2 linked regions of the Sus scrofa genome follow. The protein of the gene in region 2 interacts with the protein of the main gene of each other region in a pairwise test. Links are inferred from orthologs where the notes say so. Each region holds a gene or a part of one and is shown on either strand. Other genes may lie near its edges.

Region 1 (3,817 bases), on a different chromosome or scaffold from region 2:
ACATTATGCAGCATCATGACTAGAGAACTGAAAGGTGATTACCCTCCTAATTTGAAAGTTTTAATTTATCTTATGACATTAAAATTAGAGAATATTCAATTGACATGTTGCCAAGTAAGATTATTTTTAATATTAATAATGATTATTAAAATCTTTTTTCCTATAATGACTCCAACTTCTGTTACAAATCTAAATAAGCTTATTTCTACAGCAGTTTACACAGAGGTCTCAAACTGAACTGTGTAAAACCAAACTATCTGCTTTCCACTGATGTTAAAACCCAGTGACTAGAAGCCTCAGAAAAGGGCTTGATTCCAGCTATGGGCAGGTTTATGAGCAATGCAGACACACCATGCTAATCCAGACTAAACCACATCAAACCCAAGTCAAAAATAAGGCAAATTCTTGGTTTTCTTTTTACAAATAGAAATCTGTGATTTTTAATTTTGTTTCCTATACCACTTGGCAGATGATGAACATGTGTCTGATTGATATGATCCATAGAAACTCAAGGAGAAATGGAATTAGAGAAATAAAGAGATGATAAAAAGGAGAAACTAGGTTTTATTTTTAATAAGTCAGATTCTCCTAAGTCATAAGTCTTATACGTTTGTCTGTGATTCTGACTGTTCACCTACAGTGTGGGGTCCTGGGTTCTTGGGGCCTTAGGTGATATTTTTCACGCTATTAATTGTAACTATAATACTTTTACTCTGTTTACTCCATCATACTGTATAATTATCTATGCACTTATCTATAACGTAATCATTTTACTTATAGGAGATGGTTTTGAGGGCAGAGATGTCTGTATATCCAACCCATGCTTCGACAATTTAGCTGGAATACAGTCATTGTTATTGTACAGAATTTACTGTTAAACTGGAGTTTTTCTGTCCTGTTTTTTGAAAATGAAACATCCCTATTTTTTTCACAGTGCAAGATGGTGTGAATTTTGGAATTTCATACCTGGACCAAGTTCACAAGCATGTCTCTGAAGTGCCCTGAGGTCTCCGCATAAATGTCCTCTTGAAGATCACGGCTGTATTCTGGGTAAGAGAATGACCACCTTGAGGGACAGTTTATTACAGAGCCACGTATAGAGAACCATTCCAATAAGTTACTGCCACTTCCCCATCACAAGTAGAAAGTGTATTTCCTTACGCAAATAGTAAGCTTCTCGCATCTGGAAAATTTCTCCGTTTGTTCTTGAAGCTAATATATCAATGAGGCAGTTCTCATCAGTGCCTGCTCCCTAGACAGACAGAGCAAGAAGAACATCAGGGCATCTGTGTGGGATAACAGCAGATGTTATCTGTGTAGCCTCCCGGTGTTCTGAGAGGTGGCAGAGGGCATGAAGTGTGTTTGGGATAAAGGCAGCCCCATTCAGTCTGGCTCTGCTATTTACTAGTTGTTTGGCCCCAAAGGTAATATTATCTGAAAGTCTGTTCCTTCATGGAATAAAGCAGCATGGGCATTTCTAAATGATGGGGGAAAGATGTTTAAACCATACTCACAATGCTAATTTTTTTTTTTTCTGCCAGAATATCCATTCTTGGGCAAACTGAAATTTGATCTTGGTCTCTAATCTGCCAAAGATCGTTCAGAGACCTCTCCCTGCCTCTGCCCAGATGTGGAATTTTGTACCACTTGCCTAAACATCTGGACAGGGTGCTTTCGTTGGTTTTCTTACAGTCATAGGCATGTAGTCTTCTCTGATGGTGATTTTTTAAAGACAACACATCTTTTTAAGAACGCTTCAGAAATCCTTACTCTTCTATGAGACGTTGATAAAATAGAATGGTTTCATCTAAACAGTAAATTAAGACTCTCTCCTGATAGTTTTGCAAGAGGTAGGAGCTGACATAGGCAACTTTTTAGTTGATATTCCTATGACTTTTATACAGTGCCTATTCTAAGCTACAAATATGCTGGCCCAAATCCAGCTTCCCTACTTTTTTTCCCTTTCCTTTTTTCTCCTCACACATTGTTCCCAGACTGTGGTAATCTGGTCCTTGGCAGGCATCGTACTGGAATGGTTTTGGCAGCTCTGCAGGTGTTTAATATCAGCGTTTGGAAAGATGTGAAAAGCCATTTGTCCCCCATCCCTGGCAGCAAACCTCAAACAAATCTGGAGACCGTTTATCTCATGGAAATGACTTTTCTATAAGAAAGAATTGTTCTAATCCTTCAGAGGTAAAATGTTGCTACATTTGAGCAATAGCGTTTGTAAAGAACTAGCTTGGGGTCACAAAAATAGACTAAGATGTCATCTGTATTTAGTCTCAGACTCAGTAATACTCTTTACTTGATGAGCCCAATGCATACAATAATTTAAAGAGAGTCACCCGTGTGTAATATTTCTCCTCATCTGTGAAGATGCCCTGGGGAGAGGAAACTCAAATAGCCCTGGAAATTTATTTACTCTTCCTTCAGGCAGCTTGGCACAGAGCTGGGTCAGGTGGCACAGAGCTGGGTCCGGGGGTCTGAGTTCACACAAGAACTGGATGATCCTGGGGCTGGGCTCTGGAGCCCCCCTTTCCTGACACCCCTAACCCCACACTGCAGCATTTCCTTTGTCTCCTCTTTGCTCAGATGCCCCCTCCCTCCCCCATCACAGAGCAGGGCCTGCTCCAGCGAAACTCTGGCTGCACCTGTTCAGGTACATTTCCATATCTGACCTCTACCTTCATGGCGTGCCAGAGCTCGTGAGCGTCGTACGAAGGCGGCGGGTACATGAGGCCAACCATGACATCTTTGAAGTGATCTGAAAGCTTCTCCTTCAGGTCACTGACCAGGTCCTGTGGAGGGAAAAGCAAATCTTTTCATGACATTGCTTAGCAATTTTGCGAGAGAAATGGGATCATCACAGAAAGACGTCTAGTAGGATGTCCTTCTCTACGTCATTTCACATAATGACTGGTCTGGGTTGGGTCCACACTTGTATACATGGATGATGTGAGATGACAGATTTAAGGTTCTGAAAATGACCCATGTGCTCACATCTCTGCCTGAGACGTCACCTGTATGGACTGTGGTCATATGAACACAGACCAATAACCCTTCCCCAGTCCCAGCATGACCCTCTCCTGACTGAATTATAGAAATAAGTACAAGTGGAAACCTGAAAGCATTTCAGCTGGGAATGCCTAGTTTTCCTGTATAGACTTAATAAAACATTAGTTTTGAAAGAAAATATGCATTTAAAAAATTTCATCACTGTAGCAATGTCTTTTAGCAGAGTCCCTAGATCCACTGATGCCAAAAAGTTCTTATAAATGTAATCAAGTAGTCTTAGAACTTTCTTCAAATAGTCACGTTAACACATTTACTGAACATATTGGAAGTTAAATGCTTAAAAAGAAAAACAAGCAGGCTGGATTTTTGTCCATGAATACAGATATAAAAGCATCAAATTGATCATTTTAATTTGACTTTCACTTTACCTGTATTGAGGAGAGGTTTAAAAATATATATGCTAAATTTATTATTTGTAGTATTACAAAGATATCTGAAAGATGGTTAAAATTGACCATTTCTTCCTAAAGTGCATAGTGTATATTCAGTTTAATTTAAAAACATGCAGTCTTTTAGTTCTGAGGTAGTTCAATAATATTCAAGATGGCATAATAACCTTTATGACAATAAAAACAAAATCATCATAATTTTCCTTTTATTCAGCATAATCTGACAGCCTTTCCTATACTGTGGTTTTCCTTTTTTAGCAAATAGAAGCATTCACCCAAAAGGTGATAATTGGTAACATGGAGAATCTACTGAATTTTTGCCAGGGTCAATGCAGTTTGTTTAATGAGCAGTT
Region 2 (4,290 bases):
AACGTCCGCTCTTTTCAAAATCAAGACTAAAATACCACGGAAAAGAGAGCGGCACTTTTCCTCCCAATGAACAATGGGGGTGGGGATGGGGGTAGGGAAGCACAGGAGAATTAACTACTCTTACTGGCTGACATTAAGCCCAAAATGAGCTGGAGCTGATAAACTCTGAAGATAAACAACAAAGGGAATTTTTCGTTTCCTTTAACTCACCACTGGGATCTACTTATTGCACCCCACAGCTGAAAATGATCAAAGATGAGGTCCCTGTCACTAGGCGCAAGCCCCGCCCCTAAGTCTTCTGCCCAGCTATTAGCGTAAGAGGAACTGGAGGAGTTTTTAATTAAGACTAAGAAAGATAGGAATTCCCGTCGTGGCTCAGTGGTTAACGAATCCGACTAGGAACCATGCGGTTGTGGGTTCGGTCCCTGCCCTCGCTCAGTGGGTTAAGGATCCGGCGTTGCCCTGAGCTGTGGTGTGGGTTGCAGACACGGCTCGGATCCCGCGTTGCTGTCTCTGGCATAGGCTGGTGGCTACAGTTCTGATTCGACCCCTAGCCTGGGAACCTCCATATGCCGCGGGAGCGGCCCAAGAAATAGCAAAAAGGGAGTTCCCGTCGTGGCGCAGTGGTTAACGAATCCGACTAGGAACCATGAGGTTGCGGGTTCGGTCCCTGCCCTTGCTCAGTGGGTTAACGATTCGGCGTTGCCGTGAGCTGTGGTGTAGGTGGCAGACGCGGCTCGGATCCCGCATTGCTGTGGCTCTGGCGTAGGCCGGCAGCTACAGCTCCGATTCAACCCCTAGCCTGGGAACCTCCATATGCCGCGGGAGCGGCCCAAGAAAGAGCAACAACAACAACAACAAAAGACAAAAAAAAAAAAAAAAAAAAAAAAGGATAAGAAAGATAGGAGTTCCCCTTGTGGCTCGGCGATAAGGAACCCGACCAGTACCCATGAGTAAGCGGGTTTGATTCCTGGCCTCGCTCAGTGGGTTAAGGAGGGTTAAGGATCTTACGTTGCCCTGGGCTGTGATGTAGGTCGCAGACAGACACCCACTCGGATCTGGTGTTGCTGTGGCTGTGGCTTAGGCCAGCAGCTACAGCTCCGATTGGACCCCTAGCCTAGGAACTTCCATAGGCAGAAGGTGTGGCAGTAAAACACATACACAACACGCTAAGCAAGATGGACTTCCCATAGGGGCGCAGCGGGTTAAGGATCCATTGCAGCAGCTGTGGCTAGGTCACAGCTGTGGCTGGTATTGATCCCTGGCCTGGGAACTTTCATATGCCCCGAGTGCGGGAGACCCTCTACTCGAAAACAGAATCCACTTGACAGAAGTGGGGCACGCAAAATGGGCTCGCAGGAACGATTCCGGAAAGCCTCAGAGCTGCCGGAGGCCAGGTTCTCTCAAACTCTCAAATTTCCCGGGAGCCCCGCCCCTCAACAGCCAGCTCTTCGGTATCCGAGGCGTCGCGCCGGAAGTGACCTAAGGACGATGGTGAGACGCTGGGCGCTTCCGGCGGCGGAGGCGGCCGCGGCCCGGGCTGTGTAGGTGGGTGGAGGAGCCTATCCGTCTCAGGTCTTCGAGTGCTTCGGAGCCGGCTCCGTGTGGTGTGCGGAGGAGGCGTAGGCCCGGCGGCGTGGAGGTGGGAGCGAAGGGGAGGCGGGTGGCTCTTGGGCGCTCGTGGGAGGAGGCTTCCGGGGTTGCCAGGAGGGTTTGCTTTTAGGTTTCGTGGTTCTAGGCCTTGGACCTTTATAGAGGCGAGCACGAGCTGGGGGCCCATTACTAAGGCTTGCTTTGGGGATGTGGTTTGAGGTGAGAGTCGGAGGGGAGCGGGATTCAGAATAGTCGAGGAATTGTGGGAGGTGTGAGCCATTAGTGGCCTATGCTCTTAGTTTAGTCTTGTTGATGGCTGCTGCAGCCCGTCCACTTAGTGCTCCGTGCCTCAGTTTTCTTTTGCACAGTGGGGTCGGGTGGCAGGGAAGAGCGCGAGTGCCACATAGCTGGAAGACAGAAGTGAACTGGGGTCTGAGAGAGAAGGGTGGCTGAGAAAGTAATGATAGTTGGCTCAGGGCACAGCTTCTGCTGAATCCTAGGGACTTTCCCTTGTTTTTTTTTTTTTTTTTTTTTTTTTATTGCTGTTGCTATAAGTTTGAATTTGTGCTCTTTGTGTGATATTGGTTGATTTGGTCAGCAATTGACTTGTTGAATGGTTCATTTGGCGTGTGGGAGGCGTGGTCCTCACTTGCTTGGCCAGGTGGTTGTCAATAAATCTAGTTCCAGAGCTAGGAGCCCTAACAGTCCTCTCTTGTGGTTACAGATGAAGAACTCGAGGCCTTGAGTGGTTTTTGTTCTCTTTCCTAGCCACAGACTAAATTCAGTTGTCTGTGGTCTGTCAAATACAGGTCTTAATCTCATCAAAACAAATGTCTCTGACAGGTTACTATTTCAGCTGGAAACCTCAGGTGGATTCTAGTCTTTATTATGAATGGAAGATTAAGTATATTGAGCACAAAATTGATACTTTTTTGTTTTCTCTGTGTGAAGTGGATATGGTTACAAATACAAAGAACATAACTTTTTGACTGCTGAGAATTTTTGAGTGGAGCTTTCCTGAGGCTGTAGGGCTATGGGACTAGCATAGTGTCTCTCAAACTTTTTTCACCTGTGATCCACAGTTAATGTATTTTACATAGTGACTCTCTGTGATCCCCTCATGCATAGAGTGTGTACACACAAACAAAAGTTTACTCTTTCTACATATGATGCCCTCTGACATTTTCTATTTCATTAAAATAAAAAAAAGTTGATTGTAGCCACTAAATTGACTCTGACAGCTAATGAATCTGCCTGCTAAAGACCTGTAGTTTGAAACACATTGGGCTAGAAAATGTTTAAGATCTTTGTGATTCCTGAGATTCTCTAATGCAAGGTGAAAAAGTGTATCATTTTTCTGTTCTTAACCACAGGATCAGGGTTGCTAGAATTCTTCAGCCAGAACAACAGGACAGAACATCCATATTTGGTGTCCCAAAGGAGCACAGTATCCATAGTGATAGTGTGTCAGAATTTTGGCAAGGCATTTAAGTCTTTTACAATGACCTGGTGGGTGAGATGGGGTATTTGCCAGATTGTGATAAATAGATGAAGTCATGTCTCTAAGCATCTGTGTCTGGAGGGATTTGATTTACACAACTTACAGCTGGGATTTTGGTGATTGGCATTGAGGCTCTTTCACTCTCTTTATACACAGTGTGTATTTGAAGCCTTATCTGGAGGGTGTGCTTATCAAATTTGTTGCCTTTTTGACGTGAAGAGAGAAAGTATTAGCTGGTTAATCTCAAGATTTGCCCAGTGTAGTTTAATGAAATGGGAGGGTCATCATAAATTTAAGTAGATAAATATTTAATTTTAAATAATTTATGTTGTAATTTCTCACAGGTAGTAAATATTGGCTTTTTAAAAATAGAATTTCCCACCTATAATAGACATTTGGTGTTTTAAAAATATGCAAATAGGAGTTCCCGTCATGGCGCAGTGGTTAACGAATCTGACTAGGAGCCATGAGGTTGCGGGTTTGATCCCTGGCCTTGCTCAGTGGGTTAAGGATCCGGCGTTACCATGAGCTGTGGTGTGGGTCACAGACGCGGCTCGGATCCCACGTTGCTATGGCTCTGGCGTAGGCCAGAGGCTACGGGTCTGATTAGACCCCTAGCCTGGGAACCTCCATATGCCGTGGGAGCGGCCCTAGAAAAGGCAAAAAAGGACAAAAAAAAATGCAAATAACCTTTTTTATATTAAAAAACTCATGGAGTTCCCGTCGTGGCGCAGTGGTTAACGAATCCAACTAGGAACCATGAGGTTGCGGGTTCGGTCCCTGCCCTTGCTCAGTGGGTTAAGGATACGGAGTTGCTCTGAGCTGTGGTGTAGGTTGCAAATGGGGCTTGGATCCCGTGTTGCTGTGGCTCTGGCGTAGGCCGGCAGCTACAGCTCCGATTAGACCCCTAGCCTGGGAACCTCCATATGCCGTGGAAGCAGCCCAAGAAATGGCAAAAAGACAAAAAAAAATAAAAATAAAAATAAAATAAAAAACTCTTAAGGTAGGGATATGTATGAATGGTGTATTATATATAATACTTGATTTTCAGATGTTAAGCCAATCTGTGTTCCTAGAATGAATCCCATTGAGTCATGATGTAGAATACTTTGTATGTATATGTTGCCAAATTCAGTTTGCTCATCTTTTGATAAGAATTTTTTACCCACATTCATGAGGGATATTGGTCTAATATT

Evidence for each region.
Region 1: the proteins of EDC3 (region 2) and ANXA10 interact in binary tests that used the Homo sapiens proteins (3 or more experiments, as listed by UniProt). The link is inferred for Sus scrofa from reciprocal best matches to the Homo sapiens genes EDC3 and ANXA10.

Annotation. Positions count from the first base shown.
Region 1 is NC_010456.5:21,263,141-21,266,957, forward strand, and holds part of ANXA10 (annexin A10), read right to left. Parts: intron 2,799-3,817; coding exon 2,685-2,798; intron 1,253-2,684; coding exon 1,162-1,252; intron 1,047-1,161; coding exon 967-1,046; intron 1-966.
Region 2 is NC_010449.5:58,827,218-58,831,507, forward strand, and holds the start of EDC3 (enhancer of mRNA-decapping protein 3), read left to right. Parts: upstream 1-1,475; 5' UTR 1,476-1,642; intron 1,643-4,290. UniProt on the Homo sapiens protein: Binds single-stranded RNA. Involved in the process of mRNA degradation and in the positive regulation of mRNA decapping. May play a role in spermiogenesis and oogenesis.